Astyanax mexicanus: one gene and its partner. The protein of the gene in region 2 interacts with the protein of the main gene of each other region in a biochemical or structural test. Links are inferred from orthologs where the notes say so. Each region holds a gene or a part of one and is shown on either strand. Other genes may lie near its edges.

What was found.
Region 1: the proteins of rbbp8 (region 2) and siah2l form a complex in vitro, tested with the Homo sapiens proteins (2 studies listed by BioGRID). The link is inferred for Astyanax mexicanus from reciprocal best matches to the Homo sapiens genes RBBP8 and SIAH2.

Annotation. Positions count from the first base shown.
Region 1 is NC_064424.1:17,165,558-17,173,279, forward strand, and holds the start of siah2l (E3 ubiquitin-protein ligase Siah2), read right to left. Parts: upstream 3,017-7,722; 5' UTR 2,786-3,016; coding exon 2,291-2,785; intron 1-2,290. Other genes in the region: taf9 (transcription initiation factor TFIID subunit 9), read right to left, coding at 5,072-5,238, 5,413-5,523, 6,503-6,584. UniProt on the Homo sapiens protein: E3 ubiquitin-protein ligase that mediates ubiquitination and subsequent proteasomal degradation of target proteins.
Region 2 is NC_064413.1:973,926-981,043, forward strand, and holds the start of rbbp8 (DNA endonuclease RBBP8), read left to right. Parts: upstream 1-4,109; 5' UTR 4,110-4,198; intron 4,199-5,287; 5' UTR 5,288-5,345; coding exon 5,346-5,445; intron 5,446-5,955; coding exon 5,956-5,998; intron 5,999-6,497; coding exon 6,498-6,593; intron 6,594-7,118. Other genes in the region: N-acetyltransferase ESCO1, read right to left, coding at 1-1,420. UniProt on the Homo sapiens protein: Endonuclease that cooperates with the MRE11-RAD50-NBN (MRN) complex in DNA-end resection, the first step of double-strand break (DSB) repair through the homologous recombination (HR) pathway.

The sequences.
Region 1 (7,722 bases), on a different chromosome or scaffold from region 2:
TCATCCACTCAGTCAACCTCAATGTACATAATATATGCTTTGTAACAATTAGCTTTGAAAGAGCGCGCTGACGTACTGATCCTGAATCTGTAACCAAAGGCTTTAATTGGCTTAAACGTTGATGGTAAGTTTGTAAGGACAACGGGTAATGAGTGTTGGCTCATTTTCTTCCTAAGGTCATCTTACAACATGCTGAGTAAGTTCTAATGTTATCATCTGTTTAAGGTGCCATTATCTGATGTGATTCTTGGATTTTATTTAGTTTCAGCCATGAAATTCACTTATGATGTTGTGTTTATGTATCAGAAACAACTGTAAGAGATGTGTCTATTACCTCTGTTCATAGGCTTTCCTCATTTTAAAAGGCAGCCAAGTTTATAACACTATTAGGGATGCAACTAATCTGTCTATTAATTATTTTTACTAGTTGATTAGTCAACATTTACTTTAGTCATGCCCTCCCTTCATGTCTGCTTCCGGTCGGCAAGGTTCCTGTTCCGATGTATGTTTTACCAAACTGTGACAGCTTAAATCTTAGGACCCTTGGTACATTTTGCAGGATATTTCCAAGTAGGTGAACATAATGCAGCATACATCTAGCAATATGCTTCAAGAACACTTGCTGGTAAAAGAAATACTACAATTTAACAAGTCAGCCAAAAGCTCTAATCAGATGGGATTAGTTTTACTTGGGGATGTTGAGCAATGCTTACAATTTTATGCAGAGTATTAGTCCAATTTCTGACAGATTTGAATATAATTGCCATGTACTAGAAATAGCACAAAACGTAAGGACATTTGTGGTTAGTAGATTATTTCTAAGTTGTAACAATGCTTCTTGGCAAAAAATCTTATACCGCTGGAAAGACTGATAATTTTACTTTTAATTTGTGCCACATTTTTAAGGAAAATGCAATTGTGGAATAAGTAGCAGAGCTGAGTATGTTGAATATGGCTTGCACCCATGAGAACTTTGCCATATCCTCTCTGCCAATGCCAATCAGCTTATTCTGTCATTGACTCGTCTTCTTGGGGTGTTGTCTTCTTGGAAAGCCCCTTTGAGGCCTTTCTCTGACACCCACATGGTGTCAGAGAACTGGTACTATGGCTCACTTCAAATAATGTCACAACTTGGTTTTGAGGAACACCAGCATGAAGTTGTTCTATCGCATGAGCCCTATACAGATCAGTCAAACAAGGCATGCTGTTTCTTGGAGCAGACACCAATTAACCACTGTAGCAGGGCCCATGCTTGATTGGAAGCACCTGGGGGTACCAGAAGCTCAAAACTATTGTCAATAGCCACAGCAAAATAAGATGTTTGGCACTGACAGAGAAGATTTTCCTTCCAAATGTGGCAACATTTAATAGGGTAATTAACAGGCTTTTTAACAATATACGATTTATTGCAAAGAATCATTGTTACTACAAAGAAATAATCTACCAGACACAAATGTTCTTACTTGTTGCGCATTTCAAAACAGGCTGCTATGCTGCTTTGGGTCCACAATTAAAGTGGTTAGTAAAGTAGTGTCAGCGCTGTGTGTCTGTAACTATGCTGAAGTTGTTCATCAAAACCTGTGGTATCAGAAGCTCAAAACAAGAGTCAATAGCAACAGTAAAAATAAGCTGTTTGGCAATGACAGAGAAGATTTGGCAGATATTTCATGGGCACAAGCTACATACTCAGCTCTGTTGCTCATCCCACAAATGAATGTTCCTTACAAATGTGTCAGCATTTATTATGGAAATAAACAAGCTTTCACTTCAACGACATAAAAGATATGATGAAGAAATAATCAAATTGCCGTTTTAAACTTGTCACATTTATAAACAGGCTGCTCTGCTGCTGCATGTCCAGGTTTATTGGGAAGAGGGGGGATAATGGTACATTATGACATTTTGTTATAGCTAAACAATGTTTGGAGACTTCTGTTCTTATTTATTTCCATGAAATGAGCCTTTACATCCCTTAAAACAGCAGGAGAGGGTGCAGAACCGAGGCTTTCCCGTTTCTAAACACCTGTAGCGTTGTAAACTTGAGCTAATGGAGACTCACTTCCTCAAACACTCACTCCTCCTGTGAGTCGTGAGGGCGCTGTCAAACCAAGCCAAAAAAGTGAGGTAGCTGGTGAGGTAGATAGATAGGAAATAAAGTAACGTTATACAAAAAGTGGTGTGAAAAGTACAGTAGTGTCACAGCACTGCGTGTCAGTCTGAAACTGTGCTGAAGTTTCTCAGGCTTGGTAAAGCTCTCTAACGGGCTGTCAGGAGCTCCTCTCTCTCTTACCTTGCAGGGGAAGGGCAGCGTGGAGGCGACTTTCTCCATCGCCAGGTTCCGTATGCTGGGTGTGAGAGGCCCGCGGCAGGTCGGGCAGCAGCTCAGCTTCTGTCGACATTGGTTGCAGACCAGGTGGCCGGCCTGGCACTGCAGGATCGGCGGCAGCACGTAGTCGAAGCACACTGGGCACTCGAACAGCGCCGTCAGCTCGGCCGACTGTCCGGGTAGAGCAGCAGCAGCAGCGGCGGCAGCAGCAGCAGCCGCAGTAGGTAACGTTACAGCGGTCGCAGCAGTCACAGAACCGGACCCAGAGACGGAGCCCGAAACCCCCGCAGCAGCCGCCGCCGCTGCTGCTGCTGCCGCGGCCGCAGCGGCTGCAGCAGCGGCAGCTGCCGCCGCTCCTCCTCCTCCTGCTGCTCCGGAGCCGCCGTGTTTACTCCCTCCTCCCGCCTTACCGGCTCCCAGTCCTCCGCCCGCTCCTCCCGCTGAGGACGGACGGCTCATGGCGAAGCGGGCAAACTAAGGTTAACCGACAGTTTTAACCCACGACTCGGCTGGTATGAGAGCGGTGCTCACACACACACACACCGGCAGCGGCGGCGGCAGCTCGTAGTACAACACACGCTCCTCTTCTCCCAGACCCAAACACACACACACACTCATACACACACACTCAGTCACACACTCATACACACTCATACTCACACACACCCGCGGATACAACATGGCCGCCACTGTTTGAGAAAAAGGAGCGAGGTCATTGGCTGACAGCGCTGTGATTGACAGCCGCCTAAGCCAATAGCGAGGCGGATGGAGGCTCTTGTGTAACGGCTGTGTGTGTTTACACGCAGCGGCTTGTAGTGACGGAGAGAGTGAAAGTGAGCGGAGCGGATCAGCGTGACAAACAGCCGCTCGCTCTCTCTCTCCACTGATCTCGGATCGGTTTCACCCAGTGTATCGGTCGGTATTATTGGTATTATTGATCGCATGCCGTATCAGAGAAAAAAAAAGAATGCATATTTTCACAAACAAATTTAACCTAGTTATAATTACTGCCTGCCCTCATCGAAGCTTCATGCTGTAAAATAAATGTGATCATAAAATGAGAGAAGTTCAGTTCGGATCCCTTTATCAGATTTACCTTTGGAGTGATCATATAAACAAAAGTATTAAAAGTACTGGCATTCATTACTCAGGTAAATTAGTGGTACAGATAGTAGGCTTATAGATAATATAGGTAAGGAATTTGGGGGCTCCAAGCAAAATGGACCCCTGTTCCAGTTCGTTACTAGCATGGACGCCCAGGCAGGTAGCTAACAAACAGTTGTTGTCTGGAGCCCCAGGCCAGCTCAGGCCTCAAGGCAAAGGATTGGTTTGCTTGCCTTGTTGCAATGGGCCTGATTAGGGTTTACAATATTTCTGTAGAAGCTGAAGTATCAACTGAAGCTTTATACCTAAGTACAAATACTGGTTTCAAAACTACTTTAAGATTAAATTAAAAAAAATATCAGTGGATTAAATGTGATGCAGATAGGATTTCTTAATTTATCAGGCTATCATTAACTTATATATGTAAATGACCTCTGCTGACTGACTTCCCTCTATAATGCCACATTCAAAAAGAAGCCCAGAGAGAAACACTGTTTGTAATGCTAAATGAATGGTAATAAACTGAACAGGCAGATATATGTAAAATAGGTGTGCTGTTGTTTTCATCGTATATAAAGACAGTATGGACATGATTCTGAAGCAGGAAAATAGTCAGTCATGTCTGAACTGAAGATTTAGTAACCTAGCATTCTGGGTTTTTTTTGCTAATGGCCAATGACAACACAGCTAAATGCTATTACCATGGCATAAACAGAACAAATTATTGCGTGTACAGTGCTTTGAGCCTATATGACTCTTTCCCCATGCATTTCTTACTAGCTTAGAGTTACAGAATCAGAAAATATTACAGGATTTTACACAGACATAACTCTGTTTAGGAGTTGTTCTGCACACTTTTTAGTTAAACACCAAAAAAAGTTTGCCTTTAAACCAACTATTTTGTTAAATATTGATTAAAATCAAGGAAATCACAGGTTATATATTTTATAGGAATATCAGCATGACAGGATATTCAAAATCAATATATTTATAAGAAAAGCCTGGTATTATTACAAATTTTTAAACTGTTTAACTGCTAGACAGCCATGTGTTTAGGCCTTTATTAGAGATGTTCTCTTTTACTTAAGGCTTTAAATAATGGAAACTAAATCTATAGCATGATTGGCTCACTTAATGCTATAATTTATGTGAGGGAATTCCTGATATCCTGATGTTCTGCTTGAGCTTTAGCTACATGGTTAACCCTCCATGTTTGTTCTTAGCTTAGTTTTGATTACAACACACTTTAATTTAAATGAACTCCACACTGACAGAAAGCTGATCACTCATTCATTACCAAGCAAGAATAACAGAAAACATAAAAACAGAGAATGTAATGAATGCATGAAAATTCACCTCTTAAAACAGAAAATGATTTAAATATCCCCCCTGTTGTACAGCTATTTCATTTAATACAATCGTGACATTTAAGCAAAAACAAAGAGAAAGAAGAAATGGGTTTAGCAACTACATTTTATTTTTACGTAGAAAAAGTCAGCAATCAATGGTCAAGGTCATAAGGTTACTGGTATAATCAAAAACAACATGATGGAGCTGATCGAAAGCAAAATTATCATTATATATTTACACGCGTATCAAGCAAGGAGCATCTAAGACTACTGATACAACTTATGCACAGGGTCATAAAGCATCATAGTCGTCGTCATCTTCATGCTTTCTTTTCAGAGAGCCCGATTCGCCGGAGGAGTTCTGAGACACCATGTTGGTCGTAATGAGGATGTTCTTGGAGCCGATGAGGGAGGGGTTGATGAGGACATTCTGGACTGTGCCTGGAGTAGTCGGGGTGGCTGTAAATATAACCAGTGTGACAACAGTTATTACTAATAGGAGGTAAACTAAACTAATGAAATTGAGTACCAATATCCCCTTCTTTTACCCACAACACAAACAAAAAACAAAAATTAATCATCCAACACTATGATGAAGAAATTTCACCCAGCAGTTATTAACATTGCACTGACCTGTCTTGACAGAAGCAGCCTGTGAGGAGGGGATCTGAACAGTGAAGCGCTGGCCTGTCAGTGACACAGGGGTTCCCACTTTACTGCCCATTGTCTGCACTGAGGGGGTACCTGAAAACCAGCAAAAAAAAGCACAATGATGCTCAGGATTCAGCTCATGAAACAAATCCCTTAATTCCCAAGTTCTGGGAACTGTGTTTATTACTAAAATTTATGCCAAAACAAAAAAGGACAAAAGAGTAAAACAGAGAATCACAAATATTCTTTTCCATATATTACCTTGCATTATTGTTCTATTTAAATGTACAGTTCTAGAAAAATAATTTAATTCCAGATAGAAATATTGTCATTTAGAGCATTTATTTGCAAAAAAAATAGAAATTGCTGAAATAACAAAAAAGATGCAGAGATTTCAGACCTCAGAACATGCCTAGAAAACAAGTTCATATTCATAAAGTTTTGAGAGTTCAGAAATCCATATTTGGTGGAATAACCCTGGTTTTTAATAAGTTTTATGCATCTTGGTATGGTACCGACCACCAGTCTTGCACACTGCTTTTGGATAACTTATTTTTAAGTGGTCTTCTGTTTTTTTAGAGCTGTATATCCAGCTCTTCCGTGAGTGGTCAGTTCTTTAACAATTATTGGGACCAGCTGAGGAATAAAGGTTAAAGAAGCAGCATTATTTAATTTCCTGATCAGACAGGAATTTTACTAAGGGGTTTTTCTCAATTGTCATACAATTTTCTCAATTTCACTACAACAAAACATGACCTTAGTCTTGCTCATTTTCTGTACATTCCGATTTGGACACTGCCCCCTAGTGCACACGTTCACATGCAAGTGGGTTTACAGTCACCAAAATGTAGCCATGTGCTCACAGACTTGTATAAAAGTATTATGATAAAACAACAATAATTATTATACTTCATTATTATTACTGTACTGCATTATATTACACAATAAAAACAAGAGGAAGCATTTAAAAACAAAGAATACTTTAAAAACTATATTAGTTATAGGGAAAGTCTGCCTTAGGCGGTACACTGCAGTGCACTATACTATTATGAGAATACTCAGAAGAACTCACCGAGTGTTGGTGTGCTTGGTCTACTGGAAACTGCCCCCACACTGAGCCGTGGTACTGTTATTCTACCCGCAGATGAGGACACCTACATAAGAACAGACAATCGATTAGAACCACCCCACAAATCAAATTAGTTAAACTGTACAGTACTTTTAAAACCTTACTGAAATTTCACAGACAGCGCCTCTCTATATGGTTCAGTTTGCATACCGGTACAAATGGTAAAAATGTTCAAATCAGAGAAACAGTTATTTAGAATAAAGTACCCGTATACTACACTAGATTATAATTAAGTACTTTTTGAGAAGTTAAGATAAATCTTCACCAATATTGACAACACACTTAAAGCTCTGTGTATGAACTGTGGGAAAAACGCAGCATGTGCATAAACACAGGCACTTCTTCCACTGGCCATTAGTCTATTACTGTAGCTTCGAGTTTTGTAGTTATTGGTACTAGCTCAAGAACAGCATCAGCAGGACCTAATGATACTCAAGAGTAGGGCTGCCACGATTAGTCGACTAGTCACGATTATGTCGACTATTAAAATAGTCGACGACTAATTTAATAGTCGATTAGTCGTTTGTTTTTTTTTCTTTGTTTTTCTCTCCAAACTGCTGCGACTGCCTTTCTGTCCTGGACGCACATGCGCAGTAGTGGAAACCGGGGTAGGTAGTGGACGACATCTCAGGACATTATACAGACAGGCTCTGGTTTCATGGCTACCCCGCTACAGAACTCAAAAGTGTGGGATCACCAAGAAAATAAAAGTGAAACGCGTGCAATGCAATATCTGCAATGAAGAACTTGCCTTCCTCGGCAGCACAACCGCGATGCACGAGCACCTGAAAAGGAGGCATGTTGTGGCTGATTAAATGACGAAGAAGCTAAATTGCTATTTAGCTGCTAAAATTAGCGTAAACAGAGCGTTAACTTAGTACTTAACTTACTCATCTTGATAGCTTTAAAACAGAGGTCACTAATAGGCGGACCGCGATCCGGATCCGGACCCAGACGTTGTCACAAATGCCGTCCCAAACCGATAAACTACAGAGAAGGATTTCATTCTGACAGTGGCTTCTGTTTTCAGTGCTTTTCGGTGCAGTAAACTCACAGATCAGTCATGTGTGGTGTAAAATCACCAAACGCTCTCCTCTGCCAATCCGATCTGTGCAGACCGCTGCCCTGTGTACGGTAATGTACACAATATCTGGACAGAGAGG
Region 2 (7,118 bases):
TTGTAGTTATTGTAGGTGTTGCAGTTTTTGCTGGTGCATCCGATGCGATATCATCTGCAATTTCCTCACACAGAGCTAAGAGGTTGAGCTGCTTGGGGGGCTGCCTCTTAGCAGCAGCTGCTCTCTCCTCAGCCAGAGCTGCTAATCGGGCCTTGGTTCTGGCCTGAGGATTCATCGCTTGCTTCTTTGGAGGTTCAGCGCTGGCCTGTGCAACAGAACCCGGTGTGGAGGAGTCCTTAGCGCCATCCTGTGGCAGAGATGGAGTCGAGGTGCTCTCTTTGCACACGACAGCTTTGCTGGTTTCTTTTAGAGCTAATGCCTCCTGCAAATCCTGCAACTGCTGCAAGTCCTGCGAAGGCAGCGCATTGCAATTCTCTGATGAGGCACCAAGGTTCCCGCCAACTACTTCCTCCACAGTTTCAATCTCAACCACGCAGTGTTCAATCTCAATATCGTCCAGATTCAGAAAGGTTTCTGAGGTCAGAGATCCTTCGGAAGCAGCAGACAGTTCTGTATCTTGGGCAGTATCCTGTACAGTAGTATCCTGTACAGTAGTATCCTGTACAGTAGTATCCTGTACAGTAGTATCCTGTACAGAAGCATCCTGTACAGAACACGTATTAACCACCTCGACCTCGTCGGACACATCTTTACCATTGAAGCTGGTCTCCTGAATAACTTTAAAAAGGGCTTGCAGAGGTGGCGGGGACTTTCTCATCACACTCACCTTAGCATCTAAAGTTACAGTGATTTTCTCGATAGGATCAGGCGGGAGTTCTTTATGCTCATTAAGCGGTATCTTGCTCAGCGTTTTAGCACCAGAGGCTCGGAGAGGGTCTTGGTCTGTGACGTCGATGATGTCCACCACGCTGTTTTTCTCCGGCATCGTCGTCTCTTCGCTTTGTATATCAGGAGGTCTACCGTAGTTGTGCTCCGTTCGCACAGGATCCACAGCTGCCGACACCGTGCTAACGGTTTCAGACGAGGGAGATGAGCATTTACCTTTCTTTGCTCTTCCAGCGTACTTCCTACTTCCTTTTTTCAGAACAGGCTCACTCTGACACACTTTCTCTCCAGGTATCTCTGAAGCTTTACTCCCACCTTTAGAGCCCAGCTCTTTTGGTGCAGCAGATGCATTCGATGCCTTCCGCTTTTTCCTACCAGTCAGTTTTTTAGGGGCTATCTTCAGCCTGGAGGAGCGACGCGGCTGCTTTTCCTTCTCGTCCTTCAGATGAGCTTTAGACGTCTTGCTGGACTGAGCTGAACCTTTCCTCTGCGAGACTCCAGCCCTCAAGGACCTCTTGGTCGTCGTCTGAGATGTTTGACCGTGTTTATCGGACGCTGCCGGACTCTGATCCACCTTTTTCTTCTTCACTTGAGGTTCAGCTTGAGCTGGCATCTTTCTTTTGGGACCGAGCATACTAAAGAAAAAAGAACACATAAATGGATAAATAATAAATACGAAGTAAACGCTGGTACAAGCAAGTATGTATAAGCATTCATAAAAATGTTAAAGCCTAGACACTGTCTACATGTTTATATAGAGAGCGGGTTTAAAAGGCTTGTGATGAAAGACATAAATAAGTGGAATACAAGTTAAGGTGTTTAAGTACATACAATTAAAAAACATAGCTTTCAACACAGTTTGTAAAGCCTAAAAATAATACAGTCATGTGCCCACAGCTAGAAAAAAACACGAATAAGCTGCTCACTCATTTTATCTGATTTAATTATGAATTTGGTATCAATGTTCCAAAGCAGAACATTTACTAGGAAGAATTACAGTGTAGATATGGGCATCAATTTCAGAGATAAATTTCTACTAGTAAGTATATATCTGTAACTGAAGTATTACTACTAAAAATGTAATTATAGTAAAGAGAAAGGTAAACTAACATAGGTAAGAACTGCATTACAGAGCAGTTAGGTAATCTAGATACTGTTTGAATGGTTGGAGTGATTTAATCTAATTTAATTAGATTAAATAATAGATTAAAGAAGAAACATAGGAAGAATTACAGTGTAGATATATCTGAATCTGCAATTTCTACTAGTAACAGAATAAATGTAGATATATTTAACTGGAGTTTTTACTAGTAAAATGTAATTATAGTTAAGAGAAAGGTAACCTAACGTAGGACTAGTCAGAATTACATCAATGATATGTGATCCTGGTGATTTTATGACTATTTTAAATTTGGGTGAAATGTTGTCCGTCGTTTATACAATGAAAAACTATGTTTATTTCATTCAAATATATACCTATACGTAGTTAAATCAGAGAAACTGATTATTTTGATGTGGTCTAATAATTGTTTTCCAGAGCTGTATATACAGGTGATACAGCTGATAACTGAAATTAAAGTCTCTGCTGGTAAGATCTGCATAACAAAGCTCTGTACTTTGTGTTTTACTGCTAAACTCTTGGGGTGATTTTAGTCTAAATCGGCTAATTTTAGGTATAATATACTGTTTATAAAGGTAAATAGAGGCTTACTTCAGTTGGGAAAGCTGTATTTCCTTTCCTTTATAAAGTGTTTTCCTCCAGTCGGTCTCCTGCCCGAATCAGATGCGGTATTTTCGGTGTTTTTGTTTTTTTTTGGCTGTTTTTTGGGGTGTTTTTGGGTCTGAGGCGGCGGAATGTCGAGGCAGTGAAAATGTAGTTAGCTTAGCTAAGCGGCTAACCCACAAAAACCTCCTGAAACGCGGCTTTTCAGCCCGAACTGCTGCTTATAAATCATACCGGCGGATCTGTATCCCCTCTACACCAGAGTACAGCCCCGCGGAGCGGCGCAGGCGGGCTAAATCTGCGGTAAAGTGCGGTAAAGCTTCTGTAAAACAGCTGTTCTGCGCTGCGATAAGTTTACCTTCTCTTCCGGCGCCCCAGTTTTCTTCGACATCTGTGGCGAGTCAGACTCACCGATACCGCCCCCCAGCGGTGAGAGCGCTCACTGCAGCAGCGGCTCCCCTCCTTCAGCCTCAGTACTTTTCCACTGTTTATTATGTTATAGTATGTTATAGGAAAAATTAAGAGACCACTTCAGTTTCTTACGGATCCTCTGAAATGACATGGTGTTTTTTTACGTTAAAAATGGTAAGCACCCGATACTAAGTGGTGAGCACCACATACTAAGTGGTGAGCACCAGATACTAAAGCCCAATATATACTTTTGAGTCGAACCTACGATGTAGCCTACATATCCCGCAAAACTGTGCTATGTAGCAGAGCGCGTTTATACTTCTGCGTGCGCGTGCAGTTAGAACCGGCGGACCAATCACAGCGACCGTACGTGTAGCACCGCGCATAATTACATTTACAGAGAGTTGCACTCAAGCCATGGCGTGGGGTATGTGGCGACGCAAAGGCTCTGGCAGAGGTTTGACGCAGAAGTAGAAATTGGCCTTAAGTGGTGAGCACAACATACTAAGTAGTGAGCACCAGACACTAAGTGATAAGCACCACATACTAAGTGGTGAGCACCACATACTAAGTAAAACAAAAAATAAATACTAAATATACACATACTAAAAAAAGTTACACCTTGTCCCTTCAGGCCAGGGGCTCCGTAGATTTCTGAATCAGTTTCTCTGATTTTGCAATTTATAGGTTTATGTTTGAGTAAAACAAACATTGTTGTTTTATTCTATAAACTACAGACAACATTTCTCCCAAATAAATAAACATATTCTAGTCATTTAGAGCATTTATTTGCAGAAAATGAGAAATGGCTGAAATAACAAAAAAAATGCAGAGCTTTCAGACCTCAAATAATGCAAAGAAAACAAGTTCATATTCGTAAAGTTTTAAGGCATCATGTTCTCCTCCTCCACCAGTCTTACACACTGCTTTTGGATAACTTTATGCTGCTTTACTCCTGGTGCGAAAATTCAAGCAGTTCAGTTTGGTGGTTTGATGGTTTGTGATCATCCATCTTCCTCTTGATTGTATTCCAGAGGTTTTTAATTTGGTAAAATCAAAGAAACTCATCATTTTTAAGTGCTCTCTTATTTTTTTTTTTCAGAGCTGTATATAAATGTTTTTGTGGGTTTAGTTTATTTTATTGTTCTGATGTTTTTGTACTGGTTTGCCTGCAGGGTGAAGTGTTTCCGTCCGGCCGCTGGGGGCGCTGTTCTGCTGCCGGGTCAGACGGGCTTCAGGTCTGGCGGGCTGTTCGTTTGTGTGTTTGGGAACAGCTGGGTAAGAATTTAACGTTTTCCTGCTGTTTTTAGGATTTATGTGTAAAATTATGTGTGTTTTAGACTCAAGCAGATATAGGTAAGACTCTGTTACGCGTGTTATTTAGGTTAGCCCGCAGGTTCTGTTTAAAAACGTGCGTAAAGTCTGTCTTTTTGTTTGTTTGGGTTGTTGGTTTTAATGCAGTTTCGGATTTATGAATCGTTTTTACGAGATAAACACACACAAACACGTAACTACGTTAGTATTTATTAGTGGAAAACACATAGGGTTTTTAGTGAGCTTCGACTTTCCGAGTTATAGCTAAAATAACTGTGTTTTTAAACTGTCTGTAGCTGTAGTTTTAGACTTTATACAGATAGCTAAGCTAAATAGCTAAGCTTATGTTTGTAAACCTAGTTAAGCTAACTAGCTAAATAACTAGCTCGTTACAGTGGAATTAAAAACAGTTTCCCTTATAAATCATTGGTTGTTTTCAGTTCAGCAATTGTGTTTAAATATATAATATAGCAGAGAAACGCAGTGATATTTGAGAAGTAAAATTAAGTTTATAGGATTTACAGAAAGTCTGCAATTATTATTTAATCTAATCAGACAGGTGAATAAATTTGGGCACCAACAGAAGAAATACATTAATATTTAGTAGATCTTGCTTTTGCAGAAATAAAATAACAGCCTCTAAATGCTTCATAAAGCTTCCAATGAGAGTCTTGTTGAAGCGTCTGGTTGAAGGTATTTTGGACCATTCTTCTTTACAGAGCATTTCTAGTTTAGTCAGGATTTTATTTGCAGGATTTCATCAAAAGAACATGTGTGGAGGTGGTTTGTTGTCAAGGTGGCCGCATATAGGATATGATTAAAAAAAGATGTATTTGGAGCATATTATGTATATTGATTTTTTTTGTTGCATTTTTTTGTATTTACTTTCTATGTTAATGTTGTTTTCAACCAAAATCACCTAATGTAAAGCTCCAAGTTAAAATAAGTATGAACTTAAAACTATAAAATTTAACAGAAACATTATTAATATTCATATCTCACGTTCAGATTTTTTCACACCGGTTAATTTAACTGCTATTTCTGTCTCAACAGAGAGTGTGCATGTTGGCTGTTCGGCATGTGATGAGGTAGCTTGGTGGACTAAACGACAATGACCAGTCCTCAGTTCAGTGGCACCTCTGGCAATAATGAAGAGCTCTTTCAGGATCTACTGAGCCGCCTCAGGGAGTGCCATGATACTGTAGTACAAGGTACTGTCTCTGGAGAGCTTGCACAACAATTTACATTTTAATAGCGTTAATACTACAGTAATGCTGGGCAGCAGTGATTATGTTCCTATATTAAACAATAAATGTAAAAACAAATTTCTCAGCAGAAACTGTTCATTTGATTGTTTGTATACAGTTGGTTAAAAGCTAAATGTGTTTTAATTGGTTAATTTGTTTGAACCTAGTAAGTGAGTCAGTGGTAGTACTATACTAAAACTAGCAGCTGCCACTAAAAGCTGAACTTTGCAGCAAATTGTCATGCACCGCAGAGTGCACACAGATTCATGCAATCTGGTCAGTTTGAGGTGTCTGTGAGCTGGTGTATCACTGCGCTACTCGACAATGCTAAATAAATACATATATTTTCCAAATGTAGACATAAAAGCATCTCAGGGTTTTACTAACACACAGCCTGTCAGTGTTACATATGTAAAAAAAATAGCAGTATCTGACACTTCTGGATTTTAAGAGACTCCAAATGTTTTTTTGTAGGTCTGCAGTCAAAGGTGACCAAGCTGAAGAAGGAGCGTTGTCTGTAAGTAGAGTTTTTGGCCCTTTCTTGTTTACTGTGTTTTAAGCTGTTTTAACCCTTTCAGACCTGTTTTAACTACAGTGATGTTTTTTTACTATAAAATCTATATAGCAAATTAATCTATACAGCGAATTAACAAAATTATTTAATAATTGATTTTTATTTTCATTACATTGGAAGTTTGTGTGTATTTTTTTTTTATTTCACATTGACCTTTTTACTTCATAAACCATTCTTAAACAGTAAAATTAAAATTAAACATTAAAAATGTTCTAAATTACATTAGTAAAAATTAGCTCTTACTTTGCCTCAATGGCTTTAGTGCTACTGTTCTTTTTTCAGTACAGAGGGCAGACAGTGTTCAAACTGTGTTAATAGTCTTATGTGTAAAAATAAAGAAAATACAAGATGTCCATTGTAATGAATGCAGGGTCTGAAAGGGTTAAAGCAGTACCTGCAGTGTTCTGTCAGTGATATTTGTGCTGCTTGTTTTCTTTATAAGCGACGCACAAAAACTGGAGGAATTCTACAATAAAAATCAGCAGCTACGAGAGCAGCAGAAAGCCCTGCAGGAATCTATCAGACTCCTCAAAGAGAGGTATTTCTCTTTACTTCTCTAGGATTGAATATTCCCAGATGTAAACTTCATTTATCATGTATTATACTTTATGCATGTAACTTAATTACAGAAAAAGCCTTAAATCAAAATGATTATGCAAATTAGTTCACATGGATTTGTCTAATAATAATAATCTATGAATAAACTATTGTAAAATTTTCATGTCCTGAAGTGTAAAATTAAAACTTCATAAACAACTATTCAGATACTGATTTGAATTATGCTGCACAGTGTCAATTTTATATATTATTTAGTATTTAAAGAGTGCCTGGAAGTGTCTTATTTTATTTATATATTAAAGCATTTATATATTTCGCTTTAATAATATGTAGTGATTAAATAAAGTCTATATATCGTCCTCACCTGATCCGCTATAAATTCATGATTAGAATTTAATAGAATGCAAACTGACCAAAATGCATTTATTTCTTTATTTTTTTTACAGTGAGTAATAAAAAGTAATAAAAATAATAATTCATATTTAATTATGGGAAGATGGACAAC